Macaca mulatta: one gene and its partners. The protein of the gene in region 4 binds, or shares a complex with, the protein of the main gene of each other region. Links are inferred from orthologs where the notes say so. Each region holds a gene or a part of one and is shown on either strand. Other genes may lie near its edges.

What was found.
Region 1: the proteins of PPP2R2A (region 4) and PABIR1 are in contact, whole or in part, in a cryo-EM structure (PDB 8SO0), measured with the Homo sapiens proteins. The link is inferred for Macaca mulatta from reciprocal best matches to the Homo sapiens genes PPP2R2A and PABIR1. Residues at the interface, in NP_002708.1 of Homo sapiens: Phe84, Leu87, Lys88, Ser89, Leu90, Tyr178, His179, Asp197, Met222, Glu223, Leu225, Thr226, Glu227, Val228, Tyr337, Asp340, Phe343; in NP_612206.5 of Homo sapiens: His81, Ser82, Ser83, Arg84, Leu85, Ile88, Lys89, Glu92, Arg99, Glu100, His103.
Region 2: the proteins of PPP2R2A (region 4) and IER5 are in contact, whole or in part, in a cryo-EM structure (PDB 8UO5), measured with the Homo sapiens proteins. The link is inferred for Macaca mulatta from reciprocal best matches to the Homo sapiens genes PPP2R2A and IER5. Residues at the interface, in NP_002708.1 of Homo sapiens: Glu91, Ile92, Glu93, Glu94, Asp116, Tyr178, His179, Asp197, Leu198, Met222, Leu225, Thr226, Glu227, Val228, Thr230, Ser247, Phe280, Phe281, Glu283, Ile284, Ser287, Cys334, Tyr337, Glu338, Asn339, Asp340, Phe343, Lys345; in NP_057629.2 of Homo sapiens: Ala7, Arg9, Ile10, Ile13, Ser14, Lys17, Arg25, Gly26, Lys29, Leu30, His31, Lys32, Leu34, Leu35, Val36, Leu38, Val39, Leu40, Arg41.
Region 3: the proteins of PPP2R2A (region 4) and RBL1 are in contact, whole or in part, in a cryo-EM structure (PDB 9C6B), measured with the Homo sapiens proteins. The link is inferred for Macaca mulatta from reciprocal best matches to the Homo sapiens genes PPP2R2A and RBL1. Residues at the interface, in NP_002708.1 of Homo sapiens: Lys88, Tyr178, His179, Asp197, Leu198, Met222, Glu223, Glu224, Leu225, Thr226, Glu227, Val228, Ser247, Arg278, Ser279, Phe280, Phe281, Ser282, Glu283, Ile284, Ser287, Tyr337, Phe343; in NP_002886.2 of Homo sapiens: Ser615, Pro616, Leu617, Met618, His619, Pro620, Arg621, Val622, Val625, Arg626, Ser629, Leu632.
Region 5: the proteins of PPP2R2A (region 4) and ARPP19 are in contact, whole or in part, in a cryo-EM structure (PDB 8TTB), measured with the Homo sapiens proteins. The link is inferred for Macaca mulatta from reciprocal best matches to the Homo sapiens genes PPP2R2A and ARPP19. Residues at the interface, in NP_002708.1 of Homo sapiens: Lys18, Gly19, Ala20, Asp23, Asp24, Asp29, Ile31, Thr45, Asp47, Gly49, Arg51, Val53, Phe55, Val73, Thr76, Gln78, Glu81, Pro82, Glu83, Phe84, Leu87, Lys88, Ser89, Glu91, Glu93, Tyr178, His179, Asp197, Leu198, Asn221; in NP_001293124.1 of Homo sapiens: Lys42, Pro43, Gly44, Ser46, Phe48, Leu49, Arg50, Arg52, Leu53, Lys55, Lys58, Tyr59, Phe60, Asp61, Lys75, Pro93, Asp97, Leu98, Pro99, Pro103, Leu105, Val106, Ala107, Ser108, Lys109, Leu110, Ala111.

The regions. Positions count from the first base shown.
Region 1 is NC_133420.1:99,818,867-99,823,681, forward strand, and holds the start of PABIR1 (PPP2R1A-PPP2R2A-interacting phosphatase regulator 1), read left to right. Parts: upstream 1-1,774; 5' UTR 1,775-1,778; coding exon 1,779-2,768; 3' UTR 2,769-4,815. UniProt on the Homo sapiens protein: Acts as an inhibitor of serine/threonine-protein phosphatase 2A (PP2A) activity. Inhibits PP2A activity by blocking the substrate binding site on PPP2R2A and the active site of PPP2CA.
Region 2 is NC_133406.1:38,498,041-38,502,744, forward strand, and holds IER5 (immediate early response gene 5 protein), read left to right. Parts: upstream 1-1,634; 5' UTR 1,635-1,840; coding exon 1,841-2,824; 3' UTR 2,825-3,773; downstream 3,774-4,704. UniProt on the Homo sapiens protein: Plays a role as a transcription factor. Mediates positive transcriptional regulation of several chaperone genes during the heat shock response in a HSF1-dependent manner. Mediates negative transcriptional regulation of CDC25B expression.
Region 3 is NC_133415.1:89,865,104-89,869,255, reverse strand, and holds part of RBL1 (retinoblastoma-like protein 1), read left to right. Parts: intron 1-1,449; coding exon 1,450-1,614; intron 1,615-3,836; coding exon 3,837-4,007; 3' UTR 4,008-4,152. UniProt on the Homo sapiens protein: Key regulator of entry into cell division. Directly involved in heterochromatin formation by maintaining overall chromatin structure and, in particular, that of constitutive heterochromatin by stabilizing histone methylation.
Region 4 is NC_133413.1:28,096,190-28,100,341, forward strand, and holds part of PPP2R2A (serine/threonine-protein phosphatase 2A 55 kDa regulatory subunit B alpha isoform), read left to right. Parts: intron 1-1,322; coding exon 1,323-1,488; intron 1,489-4,152. UniProt on the Homo sapiens protein: Substrate-recognition subunit of protein phosphatase 2A (PP2A) that plays a key role in cell cycle by controlling mitosis entry and exit. Involved in chromosome clustering during late mitosis by mediating dephosphorylation of MKI67.
Region 5 is NC_133412.1:29,846,796-29,851,660, reverse strand, and holds the end of ARPP19 (cAMP-regulated phosphoprotein 19), read left to right. Parts: intron 1-270; coding exon 271-441; 3' UTR 442-3,932; downstream 3,933-4,865. UniProt on the Homo sapiens protein: Protein phosphatase inhibitor that specifically inhibits protein phosphatase 2A (PP2A) during mitosis. Inhibition of PP2A is enhanced when ARPP19 is phosphorylated.

The DNA of each region.
Region 1 (4,815 bases), on a different chromosome or scaffold from region 4:
GTGAGGATTAAGTGGGATTATGGAGTGTTTAAAGTACCTAGCAGGGAGTAGGCACTTAGAAAATGTTGGTTCTTTCTACCTTCTGTTCTTCTGCTTCAGATCTCTTAATTTCTACAGCTCTAAATGTGCTCTTTTCCTCTCTCAGTAAATAATACTACCATCTCACCAGTTTAAATAAAACAAGCTATGAGTCCCCTTTGAATAATCTATTTCTTTCACAATCTAAATTTAATCCATCTGCAAATCCTATTGGTTCTAACTCAACACATAGCCTCAGTCTCTCTACTTCTCCCCATTGACACTGCTACAACCCTAGTCCAAGAATCTTACCTGTATTGTTGCCATAGGCCCTGAATTCATCCTTCTGCCTCCACTGTGGTCCTCTTTCAGCCTGTTTTCCACAGAGCCTAAGTGATATTTAAAACATAAACCAGATAATATCATTCCCCTGCTTAAAACCCTCCAGTGGCTTTTCATCATACTCAGAATGAGATCCAACTCTTACCCTCTGCTAACACTCGCCGCTCTTATGCTTCAGCAGCACTGCCCTTCTTTCTTTTTCCGCTTACTCAACAAACTCATGGCTGCCTCGGGCCTTAGCACTTGCTATTCTCTCTGCTTGGAATACTCATTCCCCAGATGTCCACGTGACTTGCTGCTGCTTGTCATTTAGATCTCAGCTCTAATTGTCCGCTGCCTTCTATCAGTAGTGCTCCATCACACCATCTTGTTTTTCCTAAGGCTTTACCACTATCTGAAAATAGCCTGCGTTTATTTCTGTATTTTCCCCTCAGTAAGAATTAAAAGTTCTCAGACTAGGGCCCATTTCCTAGCAGTGTTTGGCACATAGTAAGTATGCTGGAAAAAAAAAAAAAAAACCTTGACTGAATAAATGAACAAATAAACTCACTTTTAATGAGCTATCAAGGTTTCATATTAATTACATGAGCCAAGAATAGTGTTTTTATTTTTAAAATGTGAGGACCTACTGGTTTTCCTTTAATCCTTCATACTTCACACATATGCTTGTGCTGGAACTATGACTGTAAATCAGTATCAGTACCATCCCCGGTTTTGGCTTTTTCCCCTAACCTAAACAGTTCTCATTTACTTTTCTCTCCATCTCCACTTCCACACTGTCACCTTAGTGCAAATTACCATCCTCTCTGGCCTTTTTTCTGTAAGGTTTTAATCTCCCAGTATTTGTTCTCCAGACTGCAGGCCAGTGAGCTTTTCAGTTGCTATTATACCCATGCTTGAAAACCCTTTAAGTTTTCATTGTTCTCAAGATAAAGACCAGAATGTGGTCTGGTCCACCACCTCACGTCACGCCAGCCCTCACTCTCCACTCCAGGCCACACTTTCTCCTCCCCTCCTGGTTCCCGCCTGCCACCTGGCTGGGTCGCCCTTGCTTCCCGCTTCCTGCGAAGTTTTACATCGCACCCATTTCGCCCACTTCTTCGGATTTCAGGACACTGTTCCTTCCTCGAGGAAGCCCTCCCTGATTCGCAAGCGCCACTCCCCGTCATACAGCCCCACATCACCATGGGCCTCTCTTTCAGGGCTTTGTTCGTTTTATAAATATGTACTCCAGAATATGACAATCTTATTGACGTTCGTCAATGCCAGTTTGCGCTCAATAGCTATTTGCTGAAGGAATATACGGACTAGCGGCCCGACTACTCCTCGCCCCTCCCCTACCACTGCCGCGCAGATATTACGCATAAAGCAGGCGCCTCGAGGACGGACATCGCGAGCGCCTGCGCGAAGGGGTACGCATGCGCAGAGGGGCCAGCCCGCTGACAGATTCTCGGTGGCGGCGGCAGCGGCGGCGGCCCTGGACTGCGGGGAATGGGAATCCTAGGTCCCTGACTGAGCACCTCCCCCGCCTCCCTGCCCCCGACATGGCTCAGGAGAAGATGGAGCTAGACCTGGAGCTGCCTCCGGGTACGGGCGGGAGCCCGGCGGAGGGCGGCGGCAGCGGCGGCGGCGGGGGCCTCAGGAGGTCTAACAGCGCCCCCCTGATCCACGGCCTCAGTGACACTTCGCCGGTGTTCCAGGCCGAGGCGCCGAGCGCCAGGCGGAACAGCACAACGTTCCCGAGCCGCCACGGCCTGCTGCTACCGGCCTCCCCTGTCCGCATGCACAGCAGCCGCTTGCACCAGATCAAACAAGAAGAGGGTATGGACTTGATCAACCGAGAGACGGTCCACGAACGGGAGGTGCAGACCGCAATGCAGATAAGCCACTCCTGGGAGGAAAGTTTCAGCCTGAGTGACAACGACGTGGAGAAATCCGCCTCCCCCAAGCGCATCGATTTCATTCCTGTGTCACCGGCACCGTCACCCACTCGGGGAATTGGGAAGCAGTGTTTTTCGCCATCCTTGCAAAGTTTTGTAAGTAGCAACGGATTGCCTCCAAGCCCTATTCCCAGCCCAACGACCCGATTTACCACACGGAGAAGCCAGAGCCCCATCAATTGCATTAGACCAAGTGTTCTTGGACCATTGAAAAGAAAATGTGAAATGGAAACTGATTATCAGCCAAAGAGATTTTTCCAGGGCATCACCAACATGCTTTCTTCTGACGTTGCACAGCTGTCAGATCCTGGTGTGTGTGTATCTTCGGATACCCTTGATGGAAACAGCAGCAGTGCCGGATCTTCTTGTAACTCACCAGCGAAAGTCAGCACTACCACCGACTCTCCTGTGTCACCTGCCCAAGCGGCTTCTCCATTTATTCCACTAGATGAACTTTCGTCTAAGTGATTCACTCATCCTGAGACTTTCTTTTTGCAGTGGAGAGAGAGAATAATCAAGTTGGGGCAAACACTGAACTTTGTCAATTAATTTGAGGCTATTTCCTATTCGACCCCTTTTCTTTTTTGAAATTTCCTGAAATGATGTTATTCTAGAGAACTTCTATGTCAGGTTCCTGCGGATACCTTTGAATTCAGTGTAGTAATATTTTCAGACGTTTCCCCAATAAGTGTGTTGAAGCATACATCTTTACGCTGCTACTATGTCTAAATACATATGTTATCCCTTGATTTTTTTAAATAATTGAGAGCTCTATTTATTTATGGGATTATTAAGTTCTGATGAAAATATAAATGTTGACTTAATCAGCATAGTAAACTGATGTTTAAAATTCCATACTTCATGCCCACACTAATTTTTAATGTTATTTTCAGTGGTTTGCCGATTTCCATTTGATGAAGAACTATACAGCTTAAAAAAAAAATACGTTAGTTATATCAATCTAGTGGTTGTCTGTTTTACCCAGGAATTCTTGGATATTTAGTTTTCTGGGTACCGAAGTGGGTGGGAGGGGGAATGATTAGAGAACAAATTATAAAAGTTTGCAACAAATCCTTTCAAATTAAGTATATAAAAGTAAACTTTTAAGGAAAACATTTTTAATGAGATTTTAATAGTAATTCTAGTCAGTCATACAACTATATTATAGAGAAAATAAAAATTTTCCTTTTTTTTTTTTTTTTTTTAACCAGAAAGTGCATTTGCTTGGGTGCAATCCTAAAGTGAAATGGGACAGTGCCTTGCAGTCTTTGCCCACTGTACATAGGCTAAGGCTAAGCTCTTTGTACTACTGCAAACGTAAAAGTTTTTCAAATGTAGAAAATGTGTGGGAAGGCTTGTTGAACTTTGGCGCGCCCAGGTAAACAATACTCTCTCTCAATTGTTGATATACTTTAAAATATTCAGTTGTGCCTCAGTTCCAAAAATTATTGCCAACCAGGAGCCAGAGCAATTTTTGGCTACTTTTCTGCTCTGCCCATCTGTCACCTTACTGGTTTTCCCTTGTTCAGGAAGGAAGCAGCTGTTTCCTTGCCAACAGGTCCCTTCCTTCATCTCCCACCAAAGTAGGGCACCATTGATTAGACAAAGGTACAGTGTAACTTGGATTTCTGACAGCAACAACAGGACTGAATTGTTTAACCTCTGTGGTTAAAGCTACAGCTTGAGTTGACTGCCTTGGGGATGTCCATTAATTAAGGGGTGATGATTTGCAAGAGAAAATTAGTGGAGAGTCACATAGGTAAATCATTATTTAACTTAGGTTTTGCTAAAGGTAGAATAGTCGAATGTTCTTTTCTTTGCCTTTACAATTAAGACAATAAGAATAACAAAATTTTCTTAATATTCTTCCTTATACCTCATATAGCTTCCTTAACTAGATAGTTTGACAGAAAGAATGGCATACAAAGAGGAAAGGGGAAAAATGACTCAGAACAAGACAAAAGCTCTGACTTTTTAAAGTTATCACTTACAGAGACTAACAATTTTGTGGAATTTTTACGACTATGAAAATAAATGGAACTGGTCAACTCTTGATGGTTGCCTCAAGATGGAGTGAAATTGCATTGAGGGTAAGACTGTGTCCACAGGTTTAAAATTCTCTCTTCTGAGTAATAGTGTTCATGTGCTCCCATTCTCAACCTTGTTCTTCAAATTCAAACTTAAATAGTCTGACTTCTTGTTGGGTAACTTGCCCTGCCTCCAGAGGTATTTAAACTTCATTATCTTCAACACAGAAATTGTTAATCTTCTCACTTCACCTATTCTTGCATTATCTCAATTGATGTCATCACTAATTTCCTAAACTAGAAATCATGGAAGCATCTTTGACTTTTCCTTTTCTCTGTTGGATTAGCTTAATCACCAAGTCCTGTCAACTTCTGAAATGAATCTCAAATTTCTTCCCTTCTCTATCTGTTGCCCCTGATTTTGCCTTAAGTTTTTGCCTGAGTGATCTCCCAGGCTGTTTTCTGTCTCCTTTTGGTTCAGTCTTTAT
Region 2 (4,704 bases), on a different chromosome or scaffold from region 4:
CCAAGCCAGGAAGCCGGCCTCCACAGCCTGTGCTCTTAGCCATTGCTTTATAGTGACTAACAACTTGCAAAGAAAAAGACAAGATAAAAATTCTTGCATTATTACTTAATATATGCTACTTGGTTTTGTAATTTTTGTGTCATTATTTTATCTCTTTCTCTGCATGGGCTGAAAATTCCTAGAGGGGGGAGGAACTGGGTCTCAGAGCCTGCAGTCTCAGTTACCATCAGTTGTGGGCACAGGTAATGCTACTGAGCCATCACATCTTCTGGAGATTGTCAATTGGTCATGATCAAGCCCACCCTTCACTGGTATTTTTCCTAAATAAATTCATTGCTTGGCCAATCCCTGGGGCAGGATCAGGCCCAGGGTTCCACATGGACTCCAAGAAAGCAGTGCTTAGTTTTCTCATTCAGTTTGTGGCTGAGAAGTTGTCATTTATCGTCTGTACAATAAAGCAGATGTGTATGTGACTTCCCCTTTTCAGCGGTGGAGACACTGAAGCGGTCTGAGGTTATTTACCCAGAGTCCTCAGGCAGGTCTGTGGTGGAGCTTCGGTGGAACTAACTGGAAGTGACTCCATGTTTCCAGTCCAGGACCCTGGGCAACCCTGTGGTAATTGTGCCCTGATATAAGGACCAGTAGATGGACTACATTGTTGACTGACCAGAAAATTCTGGAACTCCCTAGCGCTATATTTTTACCTTGACACAAAATGAAATTATGACATCATCATGGGAACACAGGACTTCTTTCTTTTTATTTTCAGACCTTGCTCGATTTTTCCAAGGGTTGACTGATCAGTCCTTGTAATGGAAAAATGGAAATGGGAAAAAAATCATTGTGGAGAACCTGTAACATCTTCCATTTAACCTATTTGATAACTGGCTTTGTTCCAGAATCTAGAGAACAAAGTGAAAGATGCCGGCTTTAGAGGGCAACCAGTAACTTTGTATCTAGACACAATTCCTTGATAAGAAGCCAAGAACCTAGCCAAAAACTTTTAGAATCCCCTTTTTCTTTGGTGTTAGAACTGACAGCTGCTAAGAGTGTATGTGACTCTAGCGGGGAAAGCGGCTCATCCAAAAATAATGACAGCCAAATACTTTGCAGTAATACTATTTGTTATCCAGGGGTGTCCTCCGCCGCGTATAGCCACCATCTCTATTTTTGCCAGGGTTGAGGGGAATCGCTTACAGGTGTGGCGGGCCTGGAAATGGTGGCGTGGCCGGTTAGGGCGGAGTTGATCAGGAAAAGATCAGGACTTTATGGCAGAACAGAGTCCAACACCGTGCTCGGAAGAAAGTTCGAATATTTTGTTCGCTTTGGTTCCGGCAAGCCATCGCACAAGCCAGAATCTGTAACTCCAAACAGTAGCGCCCTCGAGCACGGTCCCCAACACGGTCCCCAACACTCACTCCCCATCGGCCTGGTCTGCGCCCGCAATCCGTCGCCCCCTTTAAGAGCTTGCTCCGCGGGACTAACGTTCGAACGGGCCTTGGCGCCCCTCCTCGGGCTCCGATTGGCCGTGCGCGGCGCACGAGGGCGCGCCGGCCAGCCGCGGAACGGTTGGCGGCCCTTCGTGATTGGCGGTCGAGGAGTCTATATAAGGCGCGGGGCGGCCGGGCTGCCCTGTTTAGCTACCGGACCCGAAACGGGGTAGTTGTCTGGTGTAGAGAGGTCTGCGGGGCAGTGAGCGCGCGTCACCGGAGTCATTTCTCTTCGGAGTCTTAGGTGATCAAGGGTGTGCCCACGGGGCGGACTTGTTTGCGCCTCCCGTTCCCTCCCAGTTTCCGAACGTAACACCCCGGCGCCGACGGCCCTGTGCAGGGGAGGCAGGATGGAGTTCAAGCTGGAGGCTCACCGAATCGTCAGCATCTCCCTGGGCAAGATCTACAACTCGCGGGTCCAGCGCGGCGGCATCAAGCTGCATAAGAACCTCCTGGTCTCGCTGGTGCTGCGCAGCGCCCGCCAGGTCTACCTGAGCGACCCGTGCCCCGGCCTCTACCTGGCCGGTCCCGCTGGGATCCCGGCGCCGCCACCGCAGCAGCAGCCCGGGGAGCCGGCGGCCGGGCCACCCGCCGGCTGGGGAGAGCCGCCCCCGCCCGTCGCCCGTGCCTCTTGGCCGGAGACCGAGCCGCAACCGGAGCGCCCTTCCGTCTCACACGCGCCGCGGGTAGGGGACGAGGTGCCAGTGACCACGGTGACCGGAGTCGGGGACGTTCTTCAGGGCGGAGAGGCGGACGCGACGGAAGCTGCCTGGAGCCGCGTGGAGCGGCCGCGCCAGGCGGCGGCCGGAGAAGCCGAGGGTCCCGCCGGAGGCTGGGGCGTCTTCCCCGAGGGATCGCTTGCCGCGCGCCGCCCCTGCGGCTGCCCCCTAGGCGGGGAGGACCCGCCGGGTACACCGGCCGCGACCCCCCGCACTGCCTGCTGCTGCGCGCCGCGACCAGCCGAGGACGAGCCCCCCGCGCAGCCCGCAGTGTGCCCCAGGAAGCGCGGCGCGGCGGGGGTGGGCGGCGGCCCAGCGGGCTGCCCGGCGCCCGGCTCGACCCCGCTCAAGAAGCCCCGCCGGAACTTAGAGCAGCCGCCGAGTGGAGGAGAGGACGACGACGCGGAGGAGATGGAGACCGGGAACGTGGCTAACCTCATCAGCATCTTCGGTTCCAGTTTCTCGGGACTCCTACGGAAAAGCCCCGGGGGCGGCAGGGAGGAAGAGGAGGGAGAGGAGAGCGGCCCGGAAGCCGCCGAGCCCGGGCAGATCTGCTGCGATAAGCCGGTGCTGAGAGACATGAACCCCTGGAGCACAGCCATCGTGGCCTTCTGAGCCCTTGGCCCCCATGCGGGGAGGAGGTTGAGCAGCGGGCGTCCTCGAAGTGAGGGTCGGGCCCTTGCTGGCTGCGAGGACGCCCAGAGACCGCGGCCGCTGAGCGCGTTGGGCAGACTGGTTGCCGCTGGGCATCGCAAACTGCCCCCGGGCGCATCTGGCTTTTCTGGAGACCTGGGAGCTTGAGGCTCATTGGAAGAGGACGATCTTTAACTTTTTGTGTTTGTGTATGTCTGTGTATGTAAGTTTGTCTTGTGGCATTAAGACTATTTTGTTCTGGAATGCACCACTCCTTCCCCAGGGCTTAAGAGATTGGGGGCAGACAGGGACTTTCCTCTGCCGGCTGCGTGGAGAAGGAAGCGGCTAAAAGGTTTGGGCCGGGGAGTTCCCCATTCGTTCTCCGGGGAGGGAGGGACTTTACACCCACCCCTCACCGGAAAGCTAGACCCGCTTCAGGGCCAGGAGTGGCGTTTCCGCACAGGATTTCCTAAGACGAGAGGGATTTAGGCAGCAGCACAGACTTGGATTCCTTCTGTCCCTCCCCACCTTTCTCTCCCAATGAAGAAACGTTTATATCCTGTGATTACTCTAGGAAAGGGGCATATTAACCGTCCTTTGCTTCCCCGCAGGGGAGAAAAAGCTTGAACTTCACAGAAGAGTTCAAGCTTGGAAATAATGGAGTTTATAGAGAAAAGATATATTTTTAAAAGCTCTAGGTCAGAACTACTACACAGTGCTTTTAAAAAGTGTTTAATGAAAGTTTACAGACAGAAGCCCGAAGTGGAAAGACCTTATGGTTTTGTAGATATGGTGACTCCAGTCTTTGTTATATAAAGGTTGGGGGAGCTGATAAGGTTTTTGTACAGTATTTTCTCCTTCGTTGTATTGATTTTTGTATAAAAATGTAACTTCTACGTGTCTAACACGTATTAAATATTTTGAAGCAACGTAACTGCCTGCTTGTCTGCAATAACCTGCCTGGGTTGGGAGGGAAGTGGGAGGAGGGAAACCAGGGCCTGGGCTAGAAAATTGAAGGTGTGGTTCTTAATATCAGTCATTCGCAGACTGAGAACATTGTTTACTGACTCCACTAAGTATCAAGAGAGACACGTTTAATTTTTCCTCCTAGATCAGAGGAATGCTATTAGATACTAATATCAGCGACCTGCCAGGTTCTTGAAACCTACCGCTACAACTGGCTTTTCTAAGGTCGGTTTAGACCAATTTGTCACCCAATATGTGGGTATATATTATTAAGTAATTTAACCATCAGCTTTTGAAGCCCTGCTTATCTGCAAAAATGTTTTTCAGCAAAACTTTGTTTCCTGTTAAGCTGTTAATATGGGTCATCTTTTAGCTTTGTAATTGAAAAAAAAAAAGTTTAGATAGTTTACCTTAAAAGCCCATTCGAACTGACATAGGAAGATGAAAGAGACTGACTTGTCCAAATTGTCAGGTCCACCTCTGCATTACAGTGGATGTCAGGATGTAAATTTTCCATTTTTCTCTTATATCTAGAAAGTAAATGTATTGGTGAGAGGGAAATTGCTTGCATCAAACCAGATAAGGAAGGAGGGCTGGGCAACTTTAATTCTCATTTAGCAAAACTTCCTGATTTGTTTTGTTACTCAAATGGTGACATCAGTGTTTGGTCATGGTAGACACTTAGATGATGATAGCCAAAACATGCATCGATTTTACTAAAATCACTGCCATTAAGAGCTGTTTGTCTCTTCATGTTCAGTGTTTGAAAGGTATTCAATAATCTATTTCAGAAGCAAATCAATTAGGGAATGGTGTTTAAAATACAGTACAGTTGCCAGGACTTTAAAAGGTGGTGCTGGTTTCTAACAACTTATGAGTATGTAGGGTGTTTAAAA
Region 3 (4,152 bases), on a different chromosome or scaffold from region 4:
AGTGACATAAACTCGGCTCACTGCAACCTCTGCCTCCTGGGTTCAAACAGTTGTCATGCTCAACCTCCCAAGTGGCTGGGACTACAGGCGCATGCCACCATACCTGGCTAATTTTTATATTTTTAGGAGCTACTCAGGAGGCTGAAGTGGGGTTTTGCCATGTTGGCCAGACTAGTCTCCAACTCCTGGCCTCAAGTGATCAGAGCATGTTGGCCTCCCAAAGTGCTGGATTATAGGAGTGAGCTGCTGCACCTGGCCCCAGAAATCTTTTTTTTTTTTTTTTTTTTGAAGGCAGATTCTTGCTCTGTCACCTAGGATGGAGTGCAGTGGCACAATCTGGGCTTACTGCAACACCTCTGCCTCCTGGGTTCAAGCAATTCTAGTGCCTCAGCCTCCCGAATAGCTCGGATTACAGGCATGTGCCACCACGCCCAGCTAATTTTTGCATTTTTAGTGGAGACAGAGTGTCACCATGCTGGCCACGCTGGTCTCAAACTCCTGACCTCAGGTGATCCACCCACCTCGGCCTCCCAAAGTGCTGGGATTACAAGTGTGAGCCACCACACCCGGCCAGAATTCTTAATACTAGTTATAGGACTTCCTGAAAGATCCAGGAAAATAGGCAGGGCATAGTGGCTCACACCTATAATCCCAGCACTTTGGGAGGCCGAGGTGGGTGGATCACCTGAGGTCAGGAGTTGGAGACCAGCCTGGCCAAGATGGTCATCTCTATTAAAAATACAAAATTAGCTGGGCGTGGTGGCACATGCCTGTAATCTCAGCTACTTGGGAGGTTGAGGCAGGAGAATCGCTTGAACCTGGGAGGCAGAGGTTGCAGTGAGCCTAGATTGCACCATCTTACTCTAGCCTGGGCAACAAGAGCGAGAGATACTTCATCTCAAAAAAAAAAAAAAGATCCAAGAAAATAAATTCTACTTTATCTGTTGTTGTTGTAAAAAAAAAAAAAAAGAAGTAACAGATCTTTTTTTTTTTTTGCTTTTCTCAACCATAAATGAGCTTTTATAGTATAACTGATTCCTAACTAGGAGATATCATAAGAATAAAAATGGCCGGGCGCGGTGGCTCAAGCCTGTAATCCCAGCACTTTGGGAGGCCGAGACGGGCGGATCACAAGGTCAGGAGATCGAGACCATCCTGGTTAACACGGTGAAACCCCGTCTCTACTAAAAAATACAAAAAAAACCTAGCCGGGCGAGGTGGTGGGTGCCTGTAGTCCCAGCTACTCGGGAGGCTGAGGCAGGAGAATGGCATAAACCCGGGAGGCGGAGCTTGCAGTGAGCCGAGATCCGATCACTGTACTCCAGCCTGGGCGACAGAGCTAGACTCCGTCTCAAACAAAAAAAAAAAAAAAAAAAAAGAATAAAAATATGGGATTCAAAAACAAAGAAAAACTTTTATCTAAAAAATCTGACTTTTGGGTTATTTTAGATGGATGCTCCACCACTCTCTCCTTTTCCACATATTAAACAACAGCCAGGCTCACCACGCCGCATTTCCCAACAGCACTCCATTTATATTTCCCCACACAAGAATGGGTCAGGCCTTACACCAAGAAGCACTCTGCTGTACAAGTTCAATGGCAGCCCTTCTAAGGTAAGGTGAATAGGCTAAAAGCTGGATTTCACATTAACAGTCAGTAACTGTTAATCTTGCCTCTTTTTTTGTTTTTGGCCAAGTTTCTACTATACTAATAAAATATGAAATGTTAACTATGGCATGTCTCCTCTCATCAAGAGCAGTATATTCAGTTTGAGGTAGTTTAATCCATTATTATTGACATGGTATTTGTGGAGTTCATTTTGAAAGTCCAGCATGTTTTCCTGTTCAAGCAAGATCTTGAGAAGGGACCAGTAAAGCAACATCTGCAAGTGGTCAGACCTGGGGGATGTCAAGTTGAAAGAAAGGCATTGGAAGTGAAAGTGCATTTGGTAGATGGCACCCAAGATAGGAAGACGTCTGAAAACACAAGCCTCCTCTTATGTACATAGACAACTCTGTGATCATCTCCATCCTTATCCTTGTTGAGTGGTGAAGATGTGATATGGACATGATTGCTGTTTTCAGATACTTCATGGACTGTCAAGCAGATCTGTTCAGTATGTCTCCAGAAGTCAGAATCAGTATAAACTGGAAGAAATTGTAGTGGGGCATATTGTAATTCAGTCCAAATACATTGGCTCCTTCTTATTACTTTCCTATTAAGTTATACAGATGCCTACAGAGTTCTCACTATACTTGACAAAGTTGGCTAAGATAATATACCTGACTGGACACAGTGGCTCAAGCCTATAATCCTAGCACTTTGGGAGGCCAAGGCAGGCGGATTGCCTGATCTCAGGAGTTCAAGACCAGCCTGGGCAACATGGCGAAACCCCATCTCTACTAAAAATACAAAAAATTAGCCAGGCATGATGGTCCGCACCTGTAATCTCAGCTACTCTGCTCAGGAGGCTGAGGCAGGAGAATCGCTTGAGCCCAGGAGGCGGAGGTTGCAGTGAGCCGAGATCACCCCTTTTTCACTCCAGCCTGGGCGACAGAAGAAGACTCTGTCTCAAAAAAAAAAAAAAAATTGAAAAGCATTACTCTAAGGAAGAGGATCTCAAACTGTAGGGAGCTTTAAAATCATTGGGAGGGCTTGTTAAAACAGATTAGGGCTGGTCGCAGTGGCTCACGCCTGTAATCCCAGCACTTTGGGAGGCCGAGGCAGGCAGATCACGAGATCAGGAGTTCAAGACCAGCCTGGCCAACATGGCGAAACCCCGTCTCTACTAAAAATACAAAAATTAGCCAGGCATGGTGGTGGGCACCTATAATCCCAGCTACTCAGGAGGCTGAGGCAGGAGAATCGCTTGAACCCAGTAGGCAGAGGTTGCAGTGAGCTGAGATCGTGCCATTGCACTCCAACCTGGGCGACAAGAACAAGACTTCGTCTCAAAAACAAACAAAAAAAAAACAGATAAGGCCAGGCATGGTGGCTCACCCCTGTAATCCCAGCACTTTGGGAGGCCAAGGTTGGGGGATCACTTGAGGCCGGGAGTTCAAGACCAGCCTGGCCAACATGACAAAATCCTGTCTCTACTAAAAATACAAAAAAATAGCCAGGCATGGTGGCATGTGCCTGTAGTCCCAGCTAGGGAGGCTGAGGCAGGAGAATAGCTTGAGCCCAGGAGGCGAAGCTTGCAGTGAGCCAAGATCATGCCCTGCACTCCAGCCTAGGCAACAGAGAGAGAACCTGTCTCAAAAAATAAAAAAATTATAGATGCTTCTTCTGCTTCTGGTCTGGGTACTACACATCGAGAACTACTATTATACAGTGAATTCAGTTGTTTTGGTTTTGTTTTTGAGACAGGGTCTCACTCTGTTTCCCAAGCTGGAGTACAGTGGCATGATCACTGGTTACTGCAGCCGCAACCTCCCCAGGCTCAGGTGATGCTCCTTAGCCTCCCGAGTAGCTGAGACTACAGGCACAGGCCACCACACCTGCCTAATTTTTGTATTTTTTGTAGAGACCAGGTTTGCCATGTTGCCCAGGCTGATCTCAAACTCCTGGGCTCAAGTGATTGAACCATCTTGGCCTCCCAAAATGCTGGTATTACAGGCCACCACACCTGGCCTTAAATCTAATTTTTAAGCCACCTGAAAAGATTAGTTCAAGCCATCCCTTATGAGGTTGTTCTAAGTTTTAAAAAGAATCCTTATCCCAGTGTGAAGATTTGGATAGAGGATAGAACACAGGAAAAAACAATTCACTTGGTTGTTTGCTGCCATTTCCCTTCTCCCTCTTTTACTCACACACGTTCTCTATTTCTGCACAGAGTTTGAAAGAGATCAACAACATGATAAGGCAAGGTGAGCAGAGAACCAAGAAGCGAGTAATAGCCATCGATAGTGATGCAGAATCCCCTGCCAAACGCGTCTGTCAAGAAAATGATGATGTTTTACTGAAACGACTACAGGATGTTGTCAGTGAAAGAGCAAATCATTAATGTTCTTGCTTCTATGATAAAAGCACTTTCAGATTGTTCTGCAGAAAGTTGGAGCTCTGTCCTTCAAACCTTTTAGCCCTATGGATGGTAAATATTGCTGGATTATAAGAAAAAAATTGCACAAAAATGTGCTTTTTAAAATATT
Region 4 (4,152 bases):
TCATTTTAGGTAGAAGATATGTGGAGCTTTCAGGTGACACTGGAGTATTTATATATGTTAATGGAATAGGCTGTCTAATTTGGTGTGTGGGTATGGTGATGAGACCAAGGCTCTGAGTCTGATTTTTACCCCTTGTGTGTCCCCAGTATGTGGATCGTTTTGTGGGACACTGCATTCTTAACACTGGCAGACTTGCCCTCTAATAACTGATACTGCTGTCCAAAGGTTTAAATACAACCATCCATGAATGAACAACCCAGATCGTCAGGCTGCTGGAAAAAACAACCCAAAACGTAGACTTTCAAGATGATTCGGTGAAGTTTCCTTTTGATATGGAGAATAGTAATAGGCTAAGAAGTCGTAAACATTTCACTGGATAACTCACTTTTACTTAAAATAGTTGACAATAATAATCTCATTCTTTTATTTAAACTTTTTCCATAGGTGGTTCTCTGAACTAGTTTTAAATTTTTTTATGAAAATGTTTTTAATCGTGTGCTAAAAGATGAAATTCTGAATATTATAATTCTCACTTTTGCTGAGATATTAATGCTAACCAAAGTAGTTCATAAGTAGTCCCTTTACGAGATAGCTTAAATTATGTTCTTTCAAAGTAATACTAAATGAAATTAATCATCAGTGTGTGCCAGGTTCATAAGATGAGAAAGCATATTAAAGGCGAGTAAGTAGTAGTTGATGGGGTGCATGGGGCTATTGCTGGGTGGTGCTGAATATGGACTTGATTGGTGACAAAGCTGTCTGGAACAGCAGTCTTGGGGTGGGAGGCAGGGGTCAAATGGGATCCCTTCATTTATAAGAGCCCTTTTTTTAAGCTTTCAGCAGCGAAATAACCAAAAGGCAGGCATCAGAAAGGAAAAGGAGACAGTACATCATATTAAGTAACAGATTGGGGAGTTGACCCTAAAGTGGGCAGAGAAAGAAGGTGTGCCTCATCTAGCTCTTTCTGGGCAAGCCTTTCTTTAGTCATTACTCTTTAGATGAACTCCCTTATTATGGGTGCTCAGTTTTTTTCATTGGTATGCCTCTATACCATCAAAGCAATCAGTTGATCCATATTTAACATCATTATTTCCCTAATGAATCGAGCTTATTTATTCAGTGTTATTTAGCCTTTTTTCCCCTTTAAGTTTTCTCATTTAATCCTTGAAGGCCTTTAGAAATATAAAAAATAGAATATAATTGTATAAAGACACAGCTAATGGGCTATCGAGAATTTGCAGGGTCCTTTGGAATTGATTACATATTTGATTATTTTGAAATATTTTTCAACAATGGTCCATATATTTTTGTTTTCATTTTAGAACAAAATCCAGTCTCATAGCAGAGGAGAATATAATGTTTACAGCACCTTCCAGAGCCATGAACCAGAGTTTGACTACTTGAAAAGTTTAGAAATAGAAGAAAAGATCAACAAAATTAGGTGGTTACCCCAGAAAAATGCTGCTCAGTTTTTATTGTCTACCAATGGTAAGTATATGTATTTTCTTTCCATGTGCCCACTGTGTGTACTTGTTGCACATAATCCTGTAGACTAGGAGAGGAATCATTTAACAGAGATAATTTTAAAAAGGACTTTTTTTCTATACAGAATATAAACTCTACTTTTTTACTGTTCACTTGCAGTTTTTAGATTCTCTGAAAGATTCTCAGATAGCAATTTTTTGTTTACTACACCCCCAATTTGTAGCGAAAAGAATGGGCTGCTATACCATTGGATTTAGGTCAGGTACTATTTCTGCTATTTCTCAGTCTCCTAATCTTGGGCAGGTTACTAACACTGAATTGAATTTTCCTCAGCAGCGAAGTAGAGATAGTAATTTTTTATTATAGTATTATGAATATTAAGTAACTCTTCACATATGTCGTGAGTGCAAGTGCTCAATAAATGTTAATTTATTCCTCCTTTTTAAGTGTTCCTGAACTCTACACAGAGTATTTCTAACTGCAGATACAAAATAATACTCAAAGGATGGTCTCCATTCAGAGCACTCTTCTTACTTGACTACCTATTAGCATATTGCCTTCTTCCCAGCAATCCACATCGCTGGAAGGAGATTCCTCTCCTACTGTTTTACTTGCCCAGGGAGAGGTTTTTGTTGTTTTTTGAGACAATGTCTGTCGCCTAGGCTGGAGTGCAGTGGTGTAATCACAGCTCACTGCAACCTCGATCTCCCCACCTCAGTCTCCTGAGTAGCTGGGACCCACAGGTGCATGCCACCACACCAGGCTAATTTTTTTAAAACATTTTTTGTAGAGATTGGGTCTCCCGATGTTGCTCAGGCTGGTCTTGAACTCCTGGGCTCAAGCAGTCTGTCCCCCTCCTCAGTCTCCCAAAGTACTGGGATTACAGGTGTGAGCCACCATGCCTGGCCCAAGAAAAGTTAAGTGAGGATTAAAAGTTAGTAATGACTCTACCAGAATTTGAAATCCTTTATGATAAGTTGGGTTCTTTTTCTTTGTTCTTATAAAAAACTTTTCCCATGAATTGTTTGGACTTCGTTGGAGTCTTGAGTCTGAAGGGAATCATTAGAGTGACTGAGGAGATACTTTAGTTTCTTGGTAGCTGTAGTCTATAAAAATGTGTGATTAAAACTTTTTTGAGGTTGGTGCTAGGGTGAGGGGAAACCTCCTCCTATTTTCTCATTCCCTCACTATTAATTTAAAAAGCAAATTTTAACACCTAGACCATAACCATTTGCAGAATATAAACTTAAATGACTTTGGGGATGAAATAGGGGAAGAAATTCAGCACTTCCTCCATCTAATTGATGCCCTTGGTCCACAGTATGAGTTCTTAAAAATGCTGTTCACAAATGTCTGATGCCATCAGTGTTGGCCGCCTCTTGGATGCCCAGTTTTCTGATCATGAAAGCTCTCCCCAGCCAGTCCATTGGGATTCGTACCCTCTGCCTTCTCTCTTTCCACAATAAACTGCATTCCCCTCTCTTGTCCTTATTAGAAGAACAATAAACAGAAGTAACTATTTAAAGCCTGTAACTCAGCAGCATGGGTGGAGGGAACAGTTTACTCCTATCATGTGCTAGCTTCTAGTCTGGGGTCAGTTTTAATTTATATGGTAAACTAAGTTATTTCAAATAGCTTCAAATATTTTGTTCTTTGACATCAGATGATACATAACTAAACCATTTATATAATTTCTACTTATAGAATAAATGTTCCTAGGGAAGTGTGTTGTTAACATTTTATATATTGGAATGTTTCATGGCAGTTTATTTCTTACAGGGCTATGTCAGCTTTTTTATAAAGAGGACTTTTTAAATGTAGGCTGAGGTCAAGAGAATAGTATAGTGAAGCCCTGCATGCTCATCATCCACTTCCGATGCTCCTCAGTTCACGGTCAATTTGTGTCTCAAATCCTTCTCCTCCTTCTTCTCCTCGGTGTTATTTGGAAGCAAATCCCATTTCAACTTGTGTGGATTAAATCTTATTTAAAGACATTAGAGAATGCATTGTAGATTTTTGTCTTTTGTTTCTTAACACTAAGTAAAATACAACTAACTGGGGGCTGCATTTTTTAATGCTAAAAATAGTGCTTAATAATAGGGTCCAATGTGGAAGGATAGAGCAGATTATGACAATCGTAGGAACTGTTGTGTCTGGGTATGATGGGAAAAGGATGGGAGGAGTAGGACTTTAACTATATTTGAAAAACTAGAAGGAAATTTAGAGAAAAATGTCAACATCTGTTGATTCTGAGTGATATCTTTTATATTTTGTGTATTTTTCTCTGTGAGTTTTTTCTTTTCTTTTTTTTTTTTTTTTTTTTTTTTGAGACGGAGTCTTGCTCTGTTGCCCAGGCTGGAGTGCAGTGGCGCGATCTCGGCTCACTGCAAGCTCTGCCTCCCGGGTTCACGCCATTCTCCTGCCTCAGCCTCCCGAGTAGCTGGGACTACAGGCGCCCACAACCGCGCCCGGCTAATTTTTTTTTTTGTATTTTTAGTAGAGACGGGGTTTCACCGTGGTCTCGATCTCCTGACCTTGTGATCCGCCCGCCTCGGCCTCCCAAAGTGCTGGGATTACAGGCGTGAGCCACCGCGCCCGGCCTCTGTGAGTTTTTTCTGTAAGCATAGTACCAGCACCACCCTCCGCTCCGCGTCCCGCACCTCCCCC
Region 5 (4,865 bases), on a different chromosome or scaffold from region 4:
CCTGGAACTCCTGACCTCAAGTGGTTCGCCTGCCTTGGCCTCCCAAAGTGTTGGGATTTCAAGAATGAGCCACTGTGCCTGGTCTGAAGGGGGGCTTCTCAGCTGTTGACCTTATGCTGGAACTCAGTACAGAGACTATTTCGTCTAATTAATATTCCTGTTTAAATTTTTTTAGACCAACCTTATACTGACAGTATGGGGTTGCATCGACATCTTAAATCAGTAATTGCTAAGCTCTAATCTGAATTGTTCTTTGTTTTTTACTTATAGCAAAAATATTTTGATTCTGGGGATTACAACATGGCTAAAGCAAAAATGAAGAACAAGCAACTTCCTGCTGCAGCTCCAGATAAGACGGAGGTCACTGGTGACCACATTCCCACTCCACAGGACCTTCCTCAACGGAAACCATCCCTTGTTGCTAGCAAGCTGGCTGGCTGATTAAAAGGCTGAACTGCATGAATCTGCTAATTCCCATTATTTCTCCTTAATATGTTACTTATCTACTTTTTATTTCCTTTCATTCACTAAGTCATTTGAGACTGACAGCTTTGCAGGTAGCAGTAGTGTGTGCTGCTATTGTAGAATATACATGTGTAGAGTTTTTGATTAGTTTAACAGTGCACTGGTGAAGAGGACATGTTAGAGCAACATAAGTAAACTACTTGAAAAAAATTGTATATATTACCTAACTCCTAGTGTAGTACTGGTTCTAACAAGTAACAAGCAAGTTTTAAAATTTTAATGTTTTGGCTTTCATTACTTCATCTTAATTATAGCTTTGTATGTTACTCTTATTTAATATAATCTCTATTGTATTGATTTCTTCCGTATTTACCTTTTGGATTTTGTAAAACAGAAGTTTAAGACCACAAGTTAGAAGAAAGGTCACATATTTCAAACACAACTAGATGGGGCTCTGAAAGATTTGTATCTCTGTGCTTGAACTTGAATGGCCTTAAACCTGTTTCAGCTTTAACAGTAGAATTTTACTTGGGCAATATTTGCCCATTCTGGTGTAACTTATGTGACTCTAGTGCTTAACAGCTGCCATTGAAGCTAATAATTCATTTCTGTAGAGTTAGAATACCTTTTGTTGTTGAAGATGTGAATGAAGTATGCATGTGCATTGACTGTTGAATTCACTTTTGTGCCATTTTTGTAAATACAGTAGTTTTGCACAACCTCTCACAAATGTCTGTATTAATTTCACATACTTAAAAAGTAGATAATGTGCCAACCAGAAGCACAAGAGTTCCTACACAAAACTCTGTAAATCATCATAGCTTTTGTATAATGAGTAGTTTACAATCTCGGGCTTATAGAATACCAAACTGAAATCTTAGTTCAATCTGCCATAGACTTAAGCTTTTCATTTGTTACTAATATCCATGACATTCAGTGGCCTTGTGCAAATACGATATGTTGCTTAGGCATATCTTTTGTCCTATGCAGAACCTTTCATTTTGATTTTTATGAAAGTTGCAATTCATGTAATTTATATGAACTTTTTAAATGTAGAAACTTTTTACTTCCGCACTCAATTTTGGAGACACTAGAGTAAAAGGCTTCAGTACTCTGCATTCCATGCCCCCTGCTACCTGTTTTTCCCCCTTTGTTCTTTGACTCAAATGGTATTGAGCTGTTTGTTGTATATGGAAGCATAGGTGTCTATATCCTTACTCTTTTATGTAACACAATAATGGCATTTTCCTTCTAATTTCTCAGTTGTTAACCTCTCTCTCTCTTTTTTTTTTTTTTTAAGATAGGGTCTTGCTGTGTCACCTCAGCTCTAGTGCAGTACTGCAATCATAGCTCACTGCAACCTTACTCCTAGGCTCAAGTTAACTATTCTTGATCCTGTATTATTACTAATATTCTACAATTGTTTAAATAAAAGGAACTTCATAATGAAACAGTTCGGAATACTGGCTCAAGAACCTATGTCAAAATGAGCTGAATTTTGGTAAATTATTTTAGGAATTATGACAAGCTAATTGAATTAGGCTTTTGACAATGAGAGTAATTTACATGACAGGTAAAACTCCTATTAAAAATGTTTAGATATTTGCTTCTGTAGATGTCACTTTAGTAAAATACCAATTTAGTTTTACTTGTGGCTTATCTAGTTAGTAAGACCTTAACAGACTTTATTGGGACAAGTTTACTGCTCTTGTAGGAGCTCCTCTCACAAGTAGTTGTAATGCTGTAGCATGATACTCAGGATCAGCAGCTTGAGATGTTACTGTTTTTCTCTTCGTCTTCGACTTGCAGAGAGCCTCCCCTTTTTGGATCCAGGCATCTTTTCTGAATCCTGGTTCCATCAGTATACCTGCTCTCCTGTGATCTCAAATCATACTCAATGGTGCCTCGAACATAGCACCTTCGGTTAAAGGCTGCCTAGTGCTCTGAGGAAAGCTTGCTGATTATCTTCCTTGCTGATTATCTTCACCCCAAAAGGCAGAAAAGCAACACAGTCACTCCTGTGCTCATTTGTAATTGTAAAGATCAGCTATATATATATTTGTAACGAGAGCAAGTATATACTCATTATAGGATCAATTTAAGAAGTTTAAAATATCCCAGAGTAGAATTTCTATATCTAGTCTTTTGGTTTTTTCATGAATATTTGCGAGTAATTACCATTAAATTCACACATGAAAGACTAATCTGAAAGATCAGATAGACCGTGTTATTCCTGACCATGATAGAACTGCTCCTGTGGTTCGGGACAAGTAACAAAACAACTGCTTGAGTTTTGTTTGTAAAATACACTATTAATATTTGACCTACCTCAAAACGTATTGAGGATCTGTGAAATGCTAAGTGCCCAAAATAAAATATTGCTGATTGTCTTTTTATTAAAAGTAAATTTCCTCATTAAGCCAACCTGCCTTCTGTAAGTCACAGTGCTTAAATCTCAGGACTTTTCATTAGGAGAGACCTGTCGTTACGGATTTGTAGATATAATTGCTTAGCCTCCATTATTGGTGCTTGGGATAGAGAGGTTTTAGATTTTTCTGTTTTTTTGTTCTGCCTCAAAGCTCAGTTTATTGAAGACATTTGTAAGCTATTGTGTCACCACTTCAATCAAGATTTTGACTAGTGAGCTTAATTGTCCATTTCTTATTATTTCAAAGTTACAGTCTGAGAAATGGCTAATCTTAATAACTGTCCTATCATAAATTAATGTTGGAATAAACTGAAGTTGATGATAAATACTTCATGAAAACTCAAGTCTGAAATAAATTACTTGTTTTATGTCCAATAGCTACTACATTTGATAGAACAGTTTTGAGGAACATTTCATTCTTGAACGCAACATCTGACATGGTTCTCAGCAAATTGGAATAGTAAGGATTATTGGGTTGTTTTGATGAGTGGAAGCAGCATGTTTGTAGCATACAAGTTATTCAATAATCTTGTGCTGATGACCTAAAAATATGTCTTAACCATCTAGGAAAGCCTGGTGAAGCCTTTACTTGTTACTACTTCAACAGTTGGAATTAGTTGCTCTTTTTACTTGATGAAACAAAACTATACCTCTGAATATTTATGGATACTTTTTACTAAATCAGGTTTGTGTTCTTAATCCAAATTACTAAAGTTTTATGGAAGCTGAAATGTAATACAGTAGTATCCCCTTATCTGCAAGAGATACATTCCAAGACCCCTAGTGGATGCCTGAAACCTCAGATAGTACTGAACCCTTTATCGACTATGTTTTTCAATCTGACAACCAAGGTGGCTACTAAGCGACTAAGGGGCAGGTAGTATACAGTGTGGATAAGCAGGACAAAGGGATGATTCACATCGCAGGCAGGACAGAGCAAGAGATCATGAGATTTCATCACTCGGGATGACTTGTGATTTATTTTATTCTTTTCTGAGATGGAGTCTCACTCTGTTGCCTAGGCTGGAGTGCAGTGGTGCAATCTCAGCTCACTGCAACCTCCACCTCCTGAGTTCAAGCAATTCTCCTGCCTCAGTCTCCCAAGTAGCTGGGATTACAGGCGCCTGCTACCATGCCCAGCTAATTTTTGTATTTTTAGCAGAGATGGGGTTTCACCATGTTGGCCAGGCTGGTCTCGAACTCCTGACCTCAGGTGATCCACCCGCCTTGGCCTCCCAAAGTGCTGGGATTATAGGCGTGTGCCACAGTGCCCAGCCAGCTTGTGATTTAATACATGAATTGTTTATTTCTGGAATTTTCCACATATTTTTGGACCAAGGTTGCCTCGGGTAACTACAGAAAGTGAAATTGCAGATAAAGGGTATTACTGCTCCTGTGCTCTAAAATTGGTGTTTGGGTGATCAGGAGCAGGTAGCCAATGGGAAGAGCACTTCTGAGTGATACCTAAAGCAGTTTCTTTGGTGGCCTTTTCACATTCTCCAATGTTCAAGCATATTTTCCATTTTCTCTTTCACCTCATTTTGCCTCGCCATCCCCCATCCCTGCTTATTTCTTAAGCCCATCGATGGCACTCATTAAATTGTGTTTAGGGCTAATGAACCATTGTTCCTTAATATTGTTTTCAATATGCCACAATTTAGGACACATTTAAAATTTTCTAGAACAATAACCTAATCAATATTGACTAATTTGAGCCACATTCCCAACTCAAACTCAGCACACACTGCCAGTCTTCCCCAATATCTCCTTTCAATTCCCCATCACACCTTATAAAGTTGGAATCAAAGATATCTCATTCTGTCATTGTTAATCTAAGAATAAAAACACTGACTTGAATACAGTTTTACTAAGTTTCAACCTTCTAAGTAGATAGGCCTCTAGGTATTCTGCAGATCACTGGTGGTCTTGATAGCTATTAATATATGTTTGTATTATGTTATTTTTCAACTAA